Linked DNA regions of Neurospora crassa OR74A. The protein of the gene in region 1 interacts with the protein of each later gene in a biochemical or structural test. Links are inferred from orthologs where the notes say so. Each region holds a gene or a part of one and is shown on either strand. Other genes may lie near its edges.

Region 1 (4,152 bases):
GGGACAAAAAAGACAGAAAGGGGAAAGAATGGAAGTACGAAAGGGTAAGAAAAGAAGGGGAAAAAAAGAAAGGGGAAAGAAAGACTAGAAGGGGAAAAGGAAAGAAAAAGGAACAAAAGAAAGGAAAAAAAAAAAAGAAGAGAAAGTAAAAAAAAGGGGGCAAAAGAAAACTCACATCCAAATCAGTATACTCATCCAACGCACTCAACCACTGCTGCTCCGTAAAGCCCTTGGCAATCACCCGTTCCTTGACCTTTCTCAAACTCATCTCCACCCCAAACTCATCTTCTTCTTCCTCTTCTGGGGTATCATCAGGTCTGCACGCTCCACTATCCGCCAACCCCTTCACAAGGTTATAAATCCTACTACTAGCATTCATTGCCCTCTTATTGCCAGTATTCCTATCATCCTGCGCCAACGACTCCTTGCTAGCTTCCACGAGACGGAGAGCTTCATCAACATCATCTTGCGTGACGGTGTTGCTGAACCTAAGCCGAGCCAAAGCCTGCGCAAGACGGACGACACCTAGCAAAGTACGCGGCGTGGTATGGCCAAAGTTCTGGTTCTTCTTCTCTGCGCGTTTCTGCTGTGCGCGCAGGCGGACGTAGGTTTTCACCATGTATTCGGAGACTGCTTGCGGGACGACGGGGCGGTACTCGCGGGCTTTGGCGACGTAGGCACGGACTTCCTCGGGGGAGAAGACGGATGAATCCGGTCCGGTGCCCGTGCCAATGTCGGGGTGGCGGTTGTGCATGTGCACGTAGGCGACGTGCTTGGCGAGTTGGGCGTCCGTGTCGCGCGTGGGCGTGTCGAGGAGGAGGAACATGATGTCGAAACGGGAGAGTAAAGCGGCGGGGAGGTTGATGTTCTCGACGGCCGAGAGACGGGTGTTGTACCGCCCGTAAAGCGGGTTGGCGGCCGCGAGGATGGAGGTGCGCGCGTTGAGAGTGGTGGAAATGCCGGCCTTGGAGATGGAGATGGTTTGTTGTTCCATGACTTCGTGGATGGCGGTGCGGTCGTTGTCGTCCATCTTGTCGAACTCGTCGATGCAGCAAATGCCGTTGTCGGCGAGCACGAGGGCGCCGCCTTCGAGAACCATTTCGTCTGTCACGGGGTCGCGCATTACGGCGGCGGTGAGACCAACGCCCGAGGAACCGCGGCCAGACGTATACACGCCGCGCGGGGCTACCTTGGAGATGTACTTGAGCAGTTGCGATTTGGCCACACCGGGGTCACCCATCAGGCAGATGTTGATGTCGCCGCGGATCTTCATGCCGTCGCCGACTTCCTTAGTGACACCGCCGACCAACAAAAGGAGGAGGGCCTTCTTGACGTCGAGGTGGCCGTAGATTTCGGGGGCGATGGACTTGGCGAGGTACTCGTACGTGTTGCCGGTCTGTTGGAATTTGGCGATACGGCGGAGCAGGGAGGGGTCGATCTGCATCTCGGTGTAGGCTTTCTTGTGCTGGACAATGTGGTGGGCCTCGAGGTAGGTGTCGGTTAGCAGACCGGCGCGCATGGCCTTGAAGCCGGTATAAGGAGTAGGGAGGAAAATTCCCGAGATGTCGACAATGTCACCGGGGTGGACATTTCTGACCAGACTGCCGTACGCAAGCACGGTAAGGGTACGGGGAATCTGACCGATGGGGACCTGCTCGGCGAGTTCCTGGATCTTGATCTCCTGGAAGGGCAGGAACTTGGAAGCCCGCGACGACGGGTACAGCTGACCTTTGGCCTGGTTCTCCTTGCAGTCCTTGGATGGGCAGAGAGTCAGGGGGGCGTACTGCTTGTCGGTGACGGGCTGGAAGATTTCGCAACCGCAGCGGTCGCACGTGTAGGCGCCAACCTGGACAATGGGCTTGACGTCGGACACACGGGTAGCAATACCGCGGATGGTGATCAGGTGGCCGAGATGATCGCCGCGCACTTGGCGGACCGACAGGGCTTTTTGGGGCCCATCAGCAGTCATGGTCCGGGGCTTGAAGACGAGGGTGTAGCGGCGGGTGAGCTGGGCGGGGTATGTGTCGTTGAGCATGTCGGGGTCGCGCAGGTTCTCGGCGGCCTCGGTGAGGGTGCGGTTGCGCTGTTGGCGGTTGGCCATGAGGACGTCGAGCACATCGTCCTTGAATGTGATGTCGTTGCTGGTTTGGGGCATCAGCTTGTCGACGGCGCGCGAGAGCACCTCGACGTAGTGCTTGGTGTTGCGCTCTACCGACTCAACCAGCTTGAGGCCCTCGTTGACGTCCTCCTCCCATGACTGCAGGTCGTCCAGGTCGATGACTATCTCGTTGATCTTGCGGTCGGCCAGTTCCTGGAGAAGCTCCTTGTACTTGTGGCGGGGGGCGCGTCTCCTCGCTCTTTCGGAGCGGCGCTGTTGCTGGGCATCGTCGTCGTCGTCGTCGTCCATAAAGTCATACTCGTCGCTGAGGTCGTCCTCGTTGATGTCGATGTTGCCTAGCGCATGGGTGATGGAGTCTTGGGGCGAGGTCTTGAAGTCGTCGAGAAAGTTTTCGAACGCGGCTGTTGTTCGAATCGTTGTGGTTAGCGCCCAGCCTGCCTCTTGCTTGCAATCCATCCTCCGCGCTTCGATCGAGAAGCCATCATCAAATCAAAGTTTTCCCTCGTCGTAATTGAAATTATTTAGTCACCACCTACACATTTGCGCGTCGTAGTCGACGGGGGCGGGGTATCTGAGGAGCGCCATGGTGAGAGATGTGGTGGGTGGGATAGTATGGCGCAACTCGGTGTGTGGTCAAAGGTCTGGCTGGGGATTGTTTTGGTTGTGTTGCGATGGGGAATTCGACTTTGTTTTGTTGGACGAAGGATGTCAACATTGATTGAATGGAGGAGCATGAAAGAGTGGGTCCTCTGTCCATTCAGTTGACTCCACTGTCGCGGTTCGAGTCGCGATGAGACGCGGTCCGGCAAAGGAATCTTTAATGGGCCAAGGTACTTACATGCATCCCTACCTCTACTCTAGACACTGGAGAATGCCCCTGGCAGGTGGCAGTGAGTGGCAGGAATGAGTTATACAGGAGGCGTGTCAGTGTTGTCCAGGAACATGATTATCGACTTGAGCCTCATAACATGTCAACCATAAGAGTGTGAAGTGAAGTACCATCTCATGGCATTGAGTTGCTGGAAACAGGTTATACTTCATATCCCACGTTCGTACTCATCTATACAGTTTCAATGCCTCAGATTTGGCCTCTTTCTCCAGTTTCCATCCGGATATCTTCTCCCTTCAACATGATGGCTTCTTGATGCTCATGTATTCCCCTAACAATTCCATGCGGCTGTACCTGCGCTGGGACATGCCCGAAACCCCCTGTACCAGGTCGTGGCGTGCCTCGGCACATGCAAACTGGGGACAGCTGGAGAAGCTCCAATCGGGCTCCAGCCGCGGCTCCAGGTTCTCCCCAATCAGCTGAAAACAACACCAATCATGCCCCTGGATCTCCGCCCAAGACAACAAGAACCCGGGGATTGATGGGGCGGATGGATTCCCGTTGTTCGGTGTAATTGTTAGACTAGTAGGTCGACTCAGCCAACTAAGCTACCTAGTGACCTTCGCTAGGTACGGTCAGGACCCTTTCATCTGTCATCTCATCATCGCCTATGCCAAACACCACGACGACAGCATCATCACCACCACCACCACCACCACCACCACCATAACAAGTAGTCGACACGGACGACGACGACGACGACGACGACGACGACGACAGCAGCCACCCACCATGGCTCCCAGAAAGAACGCGCAGTCTACCGCTGCCGAAATCTCCCTGGTCCATCTCCAAAACTGCTTCGTCAACCTGCCACCGTCACTGGCCTCCCTGCTCTCCAATGTCAACACGGTAAGACCCCCAGTCAGAAGAAGAACCATGGAATGCCACTGGAGACTAGCTGACACAGAACCACCCTCATGGATAGCCCGCCCAGAATGTCATCGTCGAGCTCAACTACCGCGTCCAGTCGACCCCTGACGCCATCGCTTCAGGCGCCCCCGCCTCGGTCACCAAAAACATCTTTGTAGGCTGGACCGGCATGCCCAGCAAGCGCAAGGTCAACCCCATGGTCGGGAGTCACGGCATCGACAGGACACGCTCGACTTCGTCCCGCGACCAGGAAATCCCCCTCGTCGAGATCGAC
Region 2 (4,005 bases), about 8.9 Mb from region 1:
TGTTTTGGTTCCTGAGCTGTTCACATCTACCTTTACCTATCTAATAAGACCGGAAGGGACGGATGGATGGATGGATGGATGGATGGATGGATGGATGGATGGATGGATGGATGGATGGATGTCAAAAAGTGGTTTTTGTAAAGTGTCTTCATTTTTTGGTGTGTATCAATGTGTGTCTGTCTATGTACGTACGACGGCAGGTCTATGTAATGGATAGGTACTAATGCCGATGATGAGGACTTTTGTGCCCCTGCTCCCCATTTTTGTCTTCAATGCAAACAAGTACGCAAAACCAAACAAATACCCAAACGCCAAACACCAACCCTTGTCCTGGGTTACAACGAATCCAAACACCTTCCCTATGATATACTTTTGAATGCTCTCTCAAACACGCCATGCCATGCTCCGTCCGTACTTCTCAACAATGCTTCCTTCTCCAACAACGCAAAACAACCTACTCATGAAACCCGACTCGTCCAAATCATCAGCAACTTTGCAATACTATCCCAAACACAATCAATCAATCATCCAACGCCTCTCCACTCAAGATCCCCCTCAAAATCCCCACTCCCGCCCCATCATCCTTCAGCAAAGTCTGCTCGACCTCCCTCTCCCCCACACAGCTAGCCACCCTCTTCTCATCTCCCGCCACCAACGCGCCTCCCATCCCAAACACATCCTTCTTCTTCTTGCCTCCCCGCTTCGGTGTCCCCACTCCAGGCGAGCTATACCCCAAGGCAGTAAACGATCCCGTCTTGCCGTCCACTGGCGTGATCAAACTGAGAGTTTCCAAGGAAGACACCACCTCGCGAAACTCAGATGACGAAAGCGGATGAAGCAGCGAGTCCTGTTTGCAGAGCTTGGTGTAAGCTTCAAAGAGAGTCTTGACTGTCGGGGCAATTGGCGCCTCTTGTTTCCTCGACGGAGTGCCGGTAGTGGATGCAAAACTGGCTGAAGCAGAGTTAAGAGCCTCCGACTGCGCGGCGCGGTTACGTTTCTCGATGGCGACCAGAGCGCACAGAGCGGCTTTCTGCTGGAGGTTGAGCGTCTTGAGACGCTGAGTGGTGCCGTTGCTGAATGCTGCGGCTGTGACTTTGCTGAGGTCGGCGATGCTGACGCGCGGAGCGGTGGCGGGCGTCAAGGCTTGCAGAGATTTGAGTAAAGAGGCCGAGACGCTGGCGCTGGGTCCAGTGGAGATGCTCCGGAAGAGAGAGGAAGGCGCAGGAGCCGAGGAGAGGTTGGTGTTTTCGCCTAGGACGCGCTTCTTGGAGGGAGACATTTGTAGCATCTGCTCCTTGACTTCGTTTTCGTGCTTCAGACGGGTCTCCGACTCGACCAGGTCGATGGCGCGGCGGCAGATCTCGAAGGCGCGGCGCAGGTCGCCGGTTTGGCTGGAGACTTTGCGCGAGCAGAGCTCGATGGCGGCTGGGTGGAAGAAGGGTATGTAGTTGGGGTCCTTGGGTGTTCCACCAGGAAGCAGGCTCTTGAGACGTGTGATGATGATGTTCTTGACCTGAGGCGCCGTGTATGGAAGGATGGGCAGAAGCTCAGGCTTGAGGTTGCGCGACTTGAGGCGCGGCAGGAAACGGTCGGTGAGGTCGAGCGCGTTGGCAATGCCGATCAGGGCGAGGCGCGAGTTCTTCTTTTCGAGTGACCATTCGAAGAGGCTGTAGAGACTTTCAGGGTCGAGGGTGAGGATGTGGTCGATTTCGTCCAACACCACGAGGAAGACGTCCTGGGTCTTTTTCCTGGGCAGGATGAGCTTTTGGAGAGCTGCCACCACGTCGCTTTCGGTTGAGAGTTCCTCCTTGTCTTCATCTTTGCTGACTAGCTGGTCGAGAAGGGTGACGTAGAGATCCTTGGACGACTTGATGCTCATGCAGTTGATGTAAGCCTTGCGCACTGTTGATGTCTCGGATGCGAACTTGTCGGTGACCTTGTTGACGATGGCGCTCTTTCCGGTTCCAGGAGGTCCGCTGACGTAGAGGCAGCCGCTGGGATGGGCAGTGGTGCAGCAATCCAGGAAAGTGTTGAGCTTCTCGCGCTCGTCGTCGCGTCCAATGAGCTCTCCAGGATCGGCGCTTCGAGAAAAGAGTTGGCGAGCTTGATGGTAGACTGTCTGAGAAGCGGCGGGTGTCATGGGCGTGCTTGGTGTCATGCGCCTGGAGAGCTTGCCAACGGACATGACGCGATGGCGCGGAGTGGTGACTGGTACTCTTGCAAAGACATCGTAGTGTCGTGGTGTGGAAGGTGTGACGGGAGCTGTCTTTGGCGGGCTGGCGATGACTGATTTGCGCCTTCTGAGAAGTGACTTGGCTGGTGTTTCGGCCTCCTTTCTGTCCTCGTCCTCGTCTCCTGTGGGCTTGCGGTTTTCCTTGTGGTTCTCAACGTCCTCGTCGGCAGTTGGCTTGGGTGGTGAGGCGGCCTTCTCCTTCTCTGCTTGGATGTGGTCGGGCTCATGGTGGATCTCTGGGTGGATTCGGAGAGAGCGTCTTGTTCGCTTTACGGCAAGAGGGCCTAGTGTGATTTCCTCGTCTTGTGGTCTGTCAGTATGTCGATGGCAACTCTTGAATGTCGTTGTCAGTTGCAGCTGCTCACCTGTGAGTCTGGTGCTCCTTCTCCTCTTTCCCAGAGTCGTGGGTGCGCTAGGTGAGGCCATGATTTTTTGTCAAGTCTAAAACACCAGTCGCAATGCACAATCACAATGACAAGCGGCAATCGCGTGGAAAGAACGATGCGCGGATGTTGATGGTGGTGATGGACTTGCGTGGTTGTGTGGTTGTAAGGTGGAAAGAGGAACCTTGCGCACTCAGTCCCAGTCGCACTGCACCAAAGTAGAATTCCAGTTCGCGCGCTGCCACCCCTGGCACATTCCACTTCCACATTGCGGAGACGCGACCGCGAATTTGTGGGGCTGCAGCTCGGTGCTCGACGCGGCTTCCCCGCTGCACTGCGCGTTTCAATTAAGCCCCGTTGCGCATGAGCCACACAGACTGTGGCTAGGGAGGGTTCGTTTCGTGGCGCGTGCCTTGTGTCAAAGCGGGGCCTCTTCCAGATCCGTATCCACTTCCCCGCACTATTCTCACAGTGTCCACAGGGGCATTCCAGGGGAGCCCTCCACTGAAGCAGGGAGACCGCCGCCTGTGTTTCACTTTGCTGTGCTGGAAAGTGGCGATCTCCGTCCCGTTGGACCTCCCGAATCGGTACGTATAAGAAAACTAAACCTCCAATACCCGACGCCACTACCGTAGGTGCCTTTGCTTGTGTTTATCGACAAGTATCATGACCACAAGTGGCAATGACAAGTCATCCACCTCAGTGTCTGTTCAGATGTCCATGTCGATAGCCCAGAGATCTCACAGAAATATCAAACTCGGTTGACCGGTTGTCATTTAATGGACTTGGTGATACTTGATTGTTCTCCAAGATGGGTTCGTTAAACATACAGCACAATGGCTACGATGCCGACGTGGAAAAGATAAGAGAAGAAGAGTATCCTATGCTGAAGGGCAAGTTGAAGTTCGTTTTCAACAACTTGACCAGACCACTAACACAAAACAAACAGACTCCATCTACCTCGACCATGCCGGCACCACCCCCTATCCCAAGTCCCTCATGGACCGTTTCGCCCAAGAGATGACCACCAACCTCTTTGGCAACCCCCACTCCGCCTCAGCTTCCTCCCAACTGTCAACCCAGCGCATCCAAGACATCCGTCTCCGAGCCCTGCAGTTCTTCAACGCCGACCCAGCCGACTTTGACCTCGTCTTTGTCGCCAACGCCACAGCCGGGATCAAGCTGGTTGTCGAAGCCATGAGATGTCTGCCCACGGGCTTTGACTATGTCTACCATCAATCCAGCCATACCAGCTTGGTAGGAGTTCGGGAAGAGGCTAGAAGTAGTGTTTGTCTGGACACTCGGCAGGTGGAAGACTGGTTATCTGGGAGCTGTCCCTTTGACGACAACGAAGACGAAGAACGACCGATACTCTTCGCCTACCCAGCC
Region 3 (3,943 bases), on another chromosome or scaffold:
AGAAGGGGAAAAGTGCGTCCTTCTTGGGTTCTTAATTGGGTTTGAACGGGCACGGGGCAAAAGCTTAAAAGGGCATCTGCGAATGGGCTAATCAAAAAGGAGAGTGTTAAACGGGCAGAGGCCTGGGAAGGGGAGGTGTTCTTTTGCACAATGTTTGTTTTTTCCCTGGACATAGTTTGGGATTTGGGCTTGGTTTATACGGTTGAACCAAGATCGAAGCTCGGGCATTTGGGAAAAGTTCCCCGGACATGGCGGCTGCTTGTTTTTGTCTCCTTGGCATCCGTGGCGCGCGAGACGGAATTGTCTGAACTGAGGAATCCAATCAAAAACATTTCAACTTCGTTATACTCTTGATGTCTTTTGTGCTCGATGACTCGTGATTCGATGTGTGTGTGTGTGTGTGTGTGTGTGTGTGGCCAAACAAAGTAGTGGACTAGGTCCTTTCGGTAATCGAGTACCTATCATGAGAGCATGGCATGACAAGCAAAACATCGAAGTGGCAAGTATACATTTTCGACTTTGTAATTATCGTAAGACTTGAGCTATTGATGTTCTGCGGTGAGCTTTCCAGGATTTTGGATATGTTAAGACTATGATATGATGTGTAGGCTTCCATTCCAACACATGTGGTGGGTGTTGCCGTGTGTATGATAACTTCCAGGTCAAATCTGTGTGTGTCCCATTCATCTCGATTCAAAACTTAGCATTGTCATGATACATCGTCGTCAATCATCACTACGACATCAACTCCTCCAGGATAGACTCCAGCTCCTCTTTCCTAAAAGGTAAGCTCAAGTATTCCGTCCCTATCGAGTCCTTGTGACTCGTAATGATTTGATGATCGTGGAATCTGTTTCCGTTCTGTTAGCCGTTGTCCCTTTAAAACCAAGAAAATCATCTCCACAGCCAAGTCACAACAGAGGGAAGAACATACTCCTTTAGCAGCGTCCTAAACGCCATTTCCGAACTGCAAATAAACTCCTCCACAGCCTTGTTGTAAAGCATCCTATACTCTACCCCCGGCCCTTCTCCTCCCGCTGCAAAGTCTCCTGCCCCTGATGTACCACCACCACCACCACCACCGTCCTCAAAAGCCACCAAAACCTCCCCCACAATCAGCCCAAACAATTTCCTCGCGTTCTCGGGTAAACTCCGCAACACAAACGCCACTCCTTCCTTGCCACCCGCTCTCTTGCCCATCCTACCCAGTAACTCGTGTACTTCGTCTACTACGTCCAACTCTTTGCTGTGGTCTGCAAAAGTGGTGCAGTCGTGAAATGCAAAGTTGAACGAGGAGCGTAAGCTAGAGTCCCAGAGCAGAGGGAAGTCGGGCGTGTCGACTGTGCAAGCGAGAGAGATGGCTGGGTGTGAGGAGAGATGGGCGAGGAGGGATTGCGTTTGGGGTTTGCGGAGGGGGGAGAAGGGGGAGTCGAGGGAGGCTAGGAGGAGGGTGATTCTTGGCTTTTGAGCAAAAGAGGAGAGGAGGGTGAAGAGGTTTTGGATCATGGCGAGCGGGTTTCCGGAGGGTAGGCGGAAGGTGGGGTCGATGGCGGCCGAGATGGTGGTGAGGATCTCGCGGAAGGTGAGGGTGCGGGTGTGCCCGTTGATCATGATGATTGTTGTGTTGTTTGTGTCATTACCGCCGGAGGAGGAGAAGAGGTACTCGGCGAATTGGTGCAAAAGTCGACGCTTGGAGCCGTAGCCGTAGAGGCAGACGCTGAAGCCTTGGGAGAGCTCAAAGGCCCATTGGGGGAAGGAGGCGGCGTGTTGCGACTGGAGGGCATCGATATGTTTTTCGTGGGGGTCCTGACCCAGGTTGCGGAGAAGCGAGAAGTATTCTTCGTGGATGAGGAGGTCGAGCGAGGAGAGCGTGTTGTTCGAGGTTTTGTTGGATCCCGGCTTGTTCTGGTAAAAGTATTGTTCATGGGGAGGGAGGTCTCGGGGTGGTGTGGGCGATTTCTTTCGTCGTGCTAAACCGGGGGGTCTGCCTCCTCGTCCTCTCCCCCTCCCTGTCTTGGATGGAGTGGTTGCTGCTAACTCGGCCTCTTGGTCGGCGAGGTTTTCTTGTTGGGTGTCCCCTTCCTCTTCTTCCTCGCTTGACTCGTAGATCTCTCGTGCGATTTGTTGCTCTTCGTCCTCGTCATCGCTTACGGCGCCCTCCAGCACACGGTCGATGAGAGCCCTGGCACTCTTCCGTCTAGCCGATCGGTCGGCAATTCCTCGCCTGCCGGGTGTGTCGACGCCACTGATTCCTTTGAGCTTGATCGGTGTCTCGTCGACTTGTTTCTTGCGCAGGGCGGATGGTGTGCTCGGCTTGCCACTTGGTGTTCCTCCCGTCTTGGCCTTCGGTGGTCGCCCTATCCTTTTCTTGCTGGGTGTCTGCTCGGTAGGTGACTCGGGTTCTTCTGGCACAGAGGCTAGGTCGCGCTGGAGGAAATCGACCTGTTTCCGCGGGGTGGCGTTTCGCTTTGAAGGTGTTCCTCCATCTTCTGGTTGTCGCCGTTGACGCTTTGCGGAGGGAACCGCATCATCCTCATCTGGAACTTCGTAGGGGTCGGCAGGGAGTGGCCGCTTTCGAGAGGGGCGTTCGACTAGATCGTGCTGATCTGTTGATTTCCGACGAGGAGGCATACCGTTTGTGTTATTGGCTTTGGTTTATGTTGTCCAAGTTGTATGGCATGCCTTGGAGTCCCGCTGTACCTTTACCCTACCTCTGCAATTCGAAGTCTACGGGAAACTTTTGTAAAGTCAAGACGCGCTCGCTTAATTGAGACGCGTTAAGCTGTACATACGCCCGGGATGACGCTACCTACCTCTAGATGGGAAGACAGCAGGTACCTGCTAGAGAGTACCTGCGGGTAGCAGGGTTCGCTGCCTACTAACGGGGGCAAGCCAAGCCCCTGTCTACCACCACATACGCTACCTCTAGGTACTTCGCGGGAGGGTTATAGGTGGGAGAGTTCATAGGCTTTCTTGCAACCTCATGTCATCTCAACCAAACAAACTCCAAGAGGACTATCGCGACCAATATGTCAAAGCTCAATCTCAATTTGTCTGCCTCATTGAACATTTTCAAGCTTATCGCCAAGCCTTCACTATGTCTGCCCCACGCTACAGTTCCAACGTTCAACGACCTGCCCATCCCTCTTAACAAAGCCTTCTCCGGCAATGGCGAGAAGAAGGTTGACATAAAGGCTGTCGTGCTCGACAAAGATGACTGCTTTGCCTATCCTGATCACAATGAAGTGTATGAGGCTTACAAGGTGGGTTGTCTCTCGTCCCAATTCCATTCAGGAACGCTTTGACTGATTAAGCCAAGGAACGCATGGAGGCTCTACGAGCAGCATACCCAGGACGCCGTCTTCTGATCGTTTCCAACACTGCTGGTGCCCTAAGCTGGGACAAGGACGGCCAGATGGCATCCGCAGTTGAAAAGGCCACCGGCATCACTGTTCTCCCCCATGGTGTGAAAAAGCCAGGCTGTGGAGACGAGATCATGTCCTACTTCCGTGCCCACCCGGAAACCGGTGTCACCAGTCCTCACCAGATCGCCGTCGTGGGAGACCGACTGGCCACTGACATGATGCTTGCCAACATGATGGGCAGCTATGGTATTTGGATCAAGGATGGAGTTGTTCCCCACCAGCAGAAGAGCATCGTAAGTGAAACCCTGCAACCAAGCTGCGTGATAAGCCAAAGTCTTTTGCTGACTGGGATATGATAGTGGTCGAGAGTTGAGAGGACTGTTGCGCCCTTCCTTGTATCCCGTGGTTATACCGCTCCTGAGCCAGTGAGCCCCTTTGAGTAACTGCATTTTGTGCTTCTCCAGGGAAAGAAGACAGCGTGTAGTAATGTATGTTTTCTGCATATCCCCAGTAGCTGAGGTGGGTTCTTCTTTTCTTTCGCATCTGTGCCCCATTCTCTTTAATTGTTCCGACGTCGT
Region 4 (3,591 bases), about 2.7 Mb from region 1:
CAGGCCGAGCTATCGTAGAAGGTCCGTCCTCGGCTGGAGGCGATTCGAGGAGTACAGGCCGGTGGTGAGAAGCAAAATTCTATGGAGCAATCTTGTCGACAGCAACATACAAGAAGCACCGACCGCGCCATGCTGCATCCGGCCGGAACTCTTTGGCCCCGCCTGCAAAGACTTCGTCGGGCGGGATATCTGATGACTAGTATGTACATAAGCTTCGACGGTTCGGGGTTTCCATGTTGTCCCGTCGTGCGTCGTAGCGTCTATCGTACCTAGCGCCGGAGGAAGACTGAACAAGAACTGATATGGTCTCAATTGATCAGTTGAAAGCCAATGATACTACCTAGCAGTTGCTGGATGGCCTGGACCTGTTGTTTTAGCTGGCCATGGTGGGGTTGAGGCCGTGGAAGGGAAAGGCGTCATCTGCATGATGTAATCCTTGTTCCACCAAGCAGCCTTCCCAGTGCGAATTGGTTTCTCTTTTTTGAAATTGAACACTGCACCCCAGTAACTATCATTCAGCTCCACGTGTGACAGACTGACAGCGAGCACACGGCAATAACGGTCAAAAGTTTACATAACCCTATGACTGTTCTTATCGCCTTCTTCAGATGGGCCCTATTAGCTGTAGTTTGACAAATCAAGGACTAGTCAGTACCTCTTCTCTTTACTCGGGTTGATTCTCAGTATCTGCCATCAACGAAACAATATACTGAAAAAAGGATGTTATCAGCCGCCACAAACACAGTGTTGCCATGCCAGAAAACTTGGCCACTGGTTGGTGAAAAAATTTGAAGGGCCTTGTGAAACCCCTTGCTGGCTGTCACTCCAGCCTCGACGTTCGGCCGTCGTCCACCGCGGCAATTCCGTGTGGGTTCCTGAATCAATGGTCTGGCCGTCAAAGTAACCTTTCCCTCATCCTTCCCGCAACTTACAAACTGTGCTACCGTCTGGTTGTGGGCTCATGGTCCCTTGTCGATGCAAGCACTTCTCAAACCTTCATCAATGGTCCAGCCATTGAGAAAAAGTAGATGGTAACTCCTTGCCCCACAGAGACTCAAAATATTTGGTTGAAGTCACCTTTGGCCGTCGTCGTAGTACAAGGACTGGTCAGCTCTGTGTGTGCGGCGCAACCCTTTTGAGTCGGTCCTTTGCGCTCCCTCCAACATCTAGCTGCTGATCAATGACCATTGCATATGGCTTCTGGTCGAAGCCATTGAGTCCGTCACTCCCTCTCCGGTACTGTTCGGAAGGCGCCACGCCGTCAATGGTCAGGAAAGAGCGAGGGGTCTGTCAACCTGTCGGCAACCGCTGCCGATAGCAGTTTTCCATTGCTGGTCTGCAGCAACAAGCTCCGGTCTCAAATCATCGATGCCAGGTCGATATTGTTCAACCCAGCTTTTGCAAATATCCCTGCACAATCAGACGCTCCACATCTCCTTGCCGGACATAGAATTGACTGTTCTTTGTCAGGTTGATCGCCCTTTAGACATGCGTTAGTTAGCGTGGAACCAAAGCCATCATCTATTCCTCCATCTGTAGCGTAGCTTACCCATATTCGGTTTGGATCTCGCCCGCATCCTTCAACACTCGGACGTCGATAAAAAGGTCTCGTGGGGGTTCGAGACTGCCTGTGAGATCGATATCCGTCCATTGGCCTTTGTAGAGGGCCAACAAATCTCCAAACTGTCGAAAATAATCCTCTTCCTGGGGACTAAGACTGCTGGTGGTCCCGCCCCCTTCATTGCCCTCCGTCACGCCCTTGGGCCCTCCTGTCGTCTGGCCGGCAAGGTCGAGGATATCGGCTCCATTCCACACCAGCTCCTCGAGCTTGTCTGTTCGGATTCGGTGATAGGCGAGCAGACAGCGCTTGTTCCTTCGCATTGAAAGGTGGTTGACCAGCAGCGTGCACGCGGTGGCCTGTTCGGCGGAAGGATCAAATGACCCCTGGAAAGGTTCAAGTAAACTGGCGACGTCTTTGTCAAGATCCCGGATTTCTCGGGCCACTGCACGGACAAGCTCGGTCTGATAAGGTGGAAGATGGCTCAAGTTCTGTGTCCTCTTGGCATGCTGGACCTGGTGATGGTGTGAGTGTTCGTATCCAGGGAGGATGCAGTGAGCTTGCACAAACCAGTTTGTTACCCAAGTCACCGTACATGGGCATGTTTTCGACGTGGCTTAAGTGCCTCTTTGGACAGTTCGAAGCTGAAAGGTGTGATAGTGGAATTGACTATGTGTCTATTTTCTGACGCGTCTCACGTCGCGTCGTTTTCTCGAACAGCCAGGCGGGTGAAGTTCGAGGTTCCGTCTGGATGTGAAACCGTTCTATGGCCACTAGCATATCAAGCGTTGTTAGGCAGATAGGCGCTACAAGATGGTCTAAGCACTGCACTTGAACGCGGGGTGGGCATCAAAAGTCCTCGGACAGCCCTAACCCGAAGCAGAATACGCAGTAGAGGTACGTGTATCCGAACATTTTCTTCGTCCCATTCCCTCTCAACCAGCTGCATACGGCGTGTCCCAAGGCATACGTGCAGTCAGGGCATTCACTAACGTCGGCGACAAGAATAGGGATATTCATAAAGCAAGACGTACAGAGGTAGTTGAAGGGTGATGCTTCTTCTCATGGGCAAAGGCCGCAGTACAGGCCACCGTACCTTTGAAACGAACGTCTCATTTCCTGAAGCCGATACCAGTTCAGAGATACATGTGAAGAATCGGAGTGCCTTCGCACATGGTGCACACATTCTACATGCCCCTACGTCCAAAAGTTACTAGCATTAAGCCCTTGAACAGTTAAGAAATATTCAATAAACTATTGCTAAGCAAACACGATATAATCTATCAACTGTTGAAACCAGCAACCTTCTCGGACCACCTTGATACTCCCACCCGCCCATAACGCACCGGACAATCGGTAATGGTGACGAGGAAAGACTACACTAGGCTCCGTAGGGTTGCCAAATTCCAACTTCAGATGGGCTGCTCCATTGGACAAGCACTCGGCATGCGCAAAGATACAACAACTACGATTCATGAGTTAGCTCAAGAGCTGCGAAAAAGAAGCAATATTCCAAGTTGAATGAGATGCCAAAAGGGTCAGAGTCGCATAAATGCTGGTTTCGTCGTCATCTGCAGAGGTCTTAAGTCTGCTTGGTAACACGGACCAATTCGATCATCACGGGATGGGCGTGGGAGTACCGGTAACGGAGGAGTAGGGAAGGAGAATATCAAACAAGGTGCTAGAACTTACACTAATGACAGACACCGACGCGGCGTACTTCTGGCATTGCCAGCTTTTAGCAATTTGGAGCCATTCTCTCTGATGTCTCCCACAATGGCGCTGTTCAAACGCGGCGGTTGCACACGAAGAACCAAAACGGGGAGAATTTCACACAGCGAAAAATTTCCTGGCCATTAAATACAGACAGTGCACAGACCAGGCACAGGAACCCACCGAACTGACCGAAGACTCCATCGTGAAGACGGGACCTACATGGAAGCTCCGATAAGATAAGGAGCTAAGTACTGCCCTGTATGTAGGTAGGTACCTAAGCTCTCCCCCAGCTTCACGGCGTCAGTGCCACTGGAAGT
Region 5 (4,214 bases), on another chromosome or scaffold:
TCCGTATCAGAGAGATCCGAGTCGTCGTCACTATCTTCCTCGTTGTCCTCCTCCTCGTCCTCATCGCCGCCGGCGTCGGACTTGGCTTTCTTTTTCTCTTCTTTTTCCTTTCTCTTGGCCTCCTTCTTCTCGGCCTTGATCTTTTCCTTGATCCTTCTCTGCATCTCCTTGGCTTTAGCTTTGGCCTCTTTTTCTTCGGCTCGCTTCTTGGCCGATTCACGATCGAGAAACTTTGTGTCTGGCCCACCGCCGCCACCAGTACCGACGACAACATACACTCCGCGCTTGTCATCTAGACTAGCCACTACGAGAGGTGTGCCACGACCGCCATGGGCGAGCCTCCCGCCAGTGGCTTCTTTTTCCTGTTCCGCGAGTGCTTCACCGATCCAGAGCGCTAGCTTGGTCAAAGCGCCGGGGTGGTTGAAGAGTGTCGCATCTGGTGAGTCCTTGACCACGCACATGCGAAATGCGCGCAGATGAGATATTTGTTTCTTCTTCAAAATTGTCGTGCCAGTGGTGAAGATGGCCTTGTGTAGATACTGCGCCGTGGGAAGGCCAGCCTTAAGGGCCTCGATGTCCTCCAGCGCATCATACGCCTCCCAGAACCTGGGGATCCACTCCTCACTTTGGCTCTGGTTGTTGTCTACGTCGAGAAGATCCTGAGATGGGCCAGCAGGAAGGTCATCAGCACTAGTGGTGTTCTTCCCCACTTCCAACAGGGCTCCGACTACGACACCGACATCTTGCGCACTCAGGGTTGCCCTCCAACCCCAACTGCGTACAAAGCCCCATCCATCTTTGGCACCTCCACGATCTTTCCCGTCCGTGTCTATGGTCGGGACAAGTTCGTCGAGGTTGTAGAGAGACGCGTATTTTAGTAGTTTGGTGCGAAGTTCGCGCTTCAACATCATGTCCATGTGGGCATAACTCTGCTTGCACTGCACCAGACTGACACCCATCTTGGCGAGAAGCTTGTGTAATCGCTTCATGCCAGCCTCGCTCCACGTCTTTAGCCGAGAGAAGAGGTAGGGTGAGTGAAGCATGCTGTCGTATAAACTCCAGTGCCTAATAAGCAGGAACTTGGGCTCCGGCGACAACCTGATACTGGTATCCTCCGGACTTCGAGCGGTTGTTGGGATAATTCCTGTCGTCTCGGGGAGCACCCGGCCGTTTCCTATCTCTGGTGGGTTGAGACGTCTGACCTCGTCTCGCAGAAGCTGCCGTATTCTCGCACCACGCATGCCGAGCCAACCGGAAATGCGGGCGTCTGACCTGCGAGCTGCTACCGCAATACCGGCAGATGAGCGGCCGTACAGCTCCATCGACGTGACCCCAACGATCGCTAACCATAGCAGGTCGTTGTCTTCACGACCCAGTTCTGACGCAAGGGAGTACATCATGGACGAGATGGGCTCCGAATATGATGTACCCAGTCGGTAGTACTCGCGCAAAACTCCCTCGTTTTCTCGTCGTAGTCGTAGCAATCTCCGTCGGAGGGTGTTGGCTGAAGGGCCTCTGGGTGGTTGTGCAGCAGGCGGAGCTTCCAGCGCGTCACTGGAAAATAGGGCATCGTCGCGTAGAGATATGAGACCACGGTGTTGCGGTCGTCGAGGCGAATCTGGAATTGGACTCGACTGTATCTGGCATGAGAGATGTATTACTATGAAGAAATCGGAATGTACTCACCGAATTGCTTCTTCGTCGCTGTCTGGGTCGGTCGTCTTCATCATCGTCCTCGTCGAAGTCCGACCATGATTTCCTCTTTCTGCCTGCAACAACCGATGTATCGCCCGTGTCTTCCTCGTTCTCGCTTTCGTCTTCATCACTGTCGCCCAAGTCTCGGCCATCATCTTCGATTTCGGGCATATCCACTAGCGCCAGATACGCATCTCGTTCCTTGGAGAGCTCATCTTCAATGTCGCCGTCATCCATGACAATGATGCCGCCTTTGCCTGGTTTGTATGCTCGCTCTATCCGGCCGCCATTGACACCAATGGGGGTTCGCGCAGAGAATGTCCTGGCCTCTTGCGTCTCTGGTTCGAGGGGAAAGCCGCCGAAAACGTTGCCCAAGTTCCACGGGCGATGGGAGTCGATCACCCACACCTCTACACCCCCAAAGGTATTTTCTTCGCCCTCGGGCTCAAGTCCCAAAACTGTGCCGAGGTCAACCATACCACCCACTCCCAAGCATACGACGACTCCTCCAGCACCACCACGGGTCTCCATCATGGGGCTGACGAGCTCAGTGCCGGCACGTTCGAGGTCGGAGTAGCCAGCGACTGGCTGGATCTTGTGCGGAATATAGTCATGTTTGAGAAGTTGGGTTAGGATACGGCAGGCACATAGCGCATCGGTTTCGAGAGCGACCAAGATGAGGACGGGCGGCGATAGTGGATGGCGGGTATTTTGCAAGTGGAGGTAGAGTTTTGATATAAGCTGTCGAGGGAGATACATTGCGAAGGGAGAATCGGTATCGAGGGTGGATCAGCGAGGGAAATCGGCTGGGGACGGATTGTCGAGGCGGGGCGGCGAGGCGACGTCGTCGTGGGATATTCGCCGGCGTGGAACACTTCAGTTGTAGTTTACTCGAGGTAACTAACTTCGAACTCTGTTCACTGGGCAGAAAAAAAACCGACGGGGGATGCGCGACGCGGCCTGCCCCGCGTTAAGAGCTTTCTGCTCTGGACTATGTAGCTTGAAATATACGATGGCAAAAAAATACTGGTGTGATGGCGATGCACGTCAGTCGGATAGTGTTGTCGCGGTCGACAATAATTCGGGCGAGGGATGATGGTGTTGATAGGAGTGTTCCTTTGTTGATGTTGGCCAGGATCCTTTAATTGACATGGAAGGGCGGCCAACCAGCGCTGCGCTTCGGACGCGCTTCGAGACGCGACTCTGTGAAAGTGGTTTTGTGCCAGGGCGGGCACAGCGTGCATTACTTAGATATCAACCACTGCAGTGGACTGCAGGGGGGGCGTCAGCACAAAGCGTGCAGTGAAAGGACGCGGCCGGAGCGACCAGTTTGCTTGTACCTAGAGGTACCTCTACGTACTTGTAGTGGGGCTTTGGGTTTTGGGCAGGCAAGACGGGAGGTACCTATTGTAGAGCTGGGTAAAGTACCTACCTACCTACTGCGTACAGTAGTATATCAAGAAATGGCGGGGTACAACGCGAAGTGGAATTGCCCAGGGCAGCTGCTGACAGCCAAGGCCACAGGGGCACCCCGGGGCGGCCATCCCTCGACCGAAGCACGGGCATTGGTACAGTAAGTAGGTAGGTAATAAGGTAAACCAGGTAGGTACATCATAGCCCGGCAAATGCCTGCCCAGAGGACAACGGAACAACGGCCAGTAAGGTTCCTGCACGACAGCAATGCGATAGAAGCTTCCACTTCTGCAACTTGTCCACCTGGTCGAACGTGGAATTTCACGAGAATTTCTGCCGGCCGATGTCCCTGGATTTTAGTGAACTCTTTAGTTGCCGTGGAATCATCTGAGAACACTGTCACCGTGGGGCTGCCCAACAGCTGGAACTGAACTAATTTATCAACCTGGGTGACCAGCTGTGCTCTTTCCACTCCATCTCCTACCATAGCATAGGTAGGTGTCCAGACAGGCATCGATGTCCCACAGAAAGGTCCGCGGTGAAGGAACGGACCGGGGATGATGAACTATTCCGAAATTGCAGAGTGCGGATTGAAGTACAATACCTAGCACAGGAAGGGACCATCTAACGATGTGCTTTCCAATCCTGGATTCCGGATCAGCGTCTCCGGATTTCCGATTCGACCTATAATCCAGCTTCCATCTTCGCTTCTCTTCCTCTGTTTAGTTTGGTCCCTCTTTTGTCAATCCACATTTCCATCATTGCTTGGATCACAACACAACAACTGCCGCACACCAGACACCACTCACAACACTGGCCATCCACCACGACACCCACACCACGCCCCGTCTCGTCGGCGACAGTCTCAATTTCACTCCATCCGTGCTACTACAGTAGCCAGCCGGCCTGCCAAGCCAGCCACGACGGCGGCCACTCTTGCGGCCCACGCTTTTCTACGGTCAACCTGACCGCTCCTCTGCCTTCACTGACCAAAGCAGGAAGGAGGCTGTTCAGAGGAACTGACTGATGGTTGGGCCCAGCAACGAGGTGATCGACACGCTTCTCAAAACACTTGTGGTTTGTAAGTTGCCCTGGGGTGCGTCTAC

What was found.
Region 2: the proteins of NCU08119 (region 1) and NCU02776 form a complex in vitro, tested with the Saccharomyces cerevisiae proteins (2 studies listed by BioGRID). The link is inferred for Neurospora crassa OR74A from reciprocal best matches to the Saccharomyces cerevisiae genes MCM7 and CDC6.
Region 3: the proteins of NCU08119 (region 1) and NCU01370 form a complex in vitro, tested with the Saccharomyces cerevisiae proteins (2 studies listed by BioGRID). The link is inferred for Neurospora crassa OR74A from reciprocal best matches to the Saccharomyces cerevisiae genes MCM7 and ORC2.
Region 4: the proteins of NCU08119 (region 1) and NCU02631 form a complex in vitro, tested with the Saccharomyces cerevisiae proteins (2 studies listed by BioGRID). The link is inferred for Neurospora crassa OR74A from reciprocal best matches to the Saccharomyces cerevisiae genes MCM7 and PSF1.
Region 5: the proteins of NCU08119 (region 1) and NCU04378 form a complex in vitro, tested with the Saccharomyces cerevisiae proteins (6 studies listed by BioGRID). The link is inferred for Neurospora crassa OR74A from reciprocal best matches to the Saccharomyces cerevisiae genes MCM7 and CDC45.

What each region holds. Positions count from the first base shown.
Region 1 is NC_026501.1:338,717-342,868, reverse strand, and holds the start of NCU08119 (DNA replication licensing factor mcm7), read right to left. Parts: upstream 2,811-4,152; 5' UTR 2,705-2,810; coding exon 2,656-2,704; intron 2,521-2,655; coding exon 176-2,520; intron 1-175. Other genes in the region: pex1 (peroxisome biosynthesis protein), read left to right, coding at 3,741-3,857, 3,934-4,152. UniProt on the Saccharomyces cerevisiae protein: Acts as a component of the MCM2-7 complex (MCM complex) which is the putative replicative helicase essential for 'once per cell cycle' DNA replication initiation and elongation in eukaryotic cells.
Region 2 is NC_026501.1:9,228,612-9,232,616, reverse strand, and holds NCU02776 (cell division control protein Cdc6), read right to left. Parts: upstream 2,807-4,005; 5' UTR 2,660-2,806; coding exon 2,599-2,659; intron 2,536-2,598; coding exon 521-2,535; 3' UTR 130-520; downstream 1-129. Other genes in the region: NCU02777 (molybdenum cofactor sulfurase), read left to right, coding at 3,428-3,509, 3,566-4,005. UniProt on the Saccharomyces cerevisiae protein: Plays a crucial role in forming the pre-replicative complexes.
Region 3 is NC_026505.1:3,801,267-3,805,209, forward strand, and holds NCU01370 (hypothetical protein), read right to left. Parts: upstream 2,759-3,943; 5' UTR 2,632-2,758; coding exon 935-2,631; intron 851-934; coding exon 736-850; 3' UTR 513-735; downstream 1-512. Other genes in the region: NCU01371 (UPF0660 protein, variant), read left to right, coding at 3,030-3,263, 3,320-3,658, 3,725-3,808. UniProt on the Saccharomyces cerevisiae protein: Component of the origin recognition complex (ORC) that binds origins of replication. It has a role in both chromosomal replication and mating type transcriptional silencing. Binds to the ARS consensus sequence (ACS) of origins of replication.
Region 4 is NC_026501.1:2,993,006-2,996,596, reverse strand, and holds NCU02631 (DNA replication complex GINS protein psf-1), read right to left. Parts: upstream 2,343-3,591; 5' UTR 2,162-2,342; coding exon 2,129-2,161; intron 2,074-2,128; coding exon 1,550-2,073; intron 1,481-1,549; coding exon 1,387-1,480; 3' UTR 513-1,386; downstream 1-512. UniProt on the Saccharomyces cerevisiae protein: Required for DNA replication. Functions as part of the GINS complex which plays an essential role in the initiation of DNA replication by binding to DNA replication origins and facilitating the assembly of the DNA replication machinery.
Region 5 is NC_026504.1:3,568,021-3,572,234, forward strand, and holds the start of NCU04378 (DNA replication initiation factor Cdc45), read right to left. Parts: upstream 2,813-4,214; 5' UTR 2,455-2,812; coding exon 1,687-2,454; intron 1,635-1,686; coding exon 1-1,634. UniProt on the Saccharomyces cerevisiae protein: Required for initiation of chromosomal DNA replication. Acts at the origin of replication. Also has a role in minichromosome maintenance.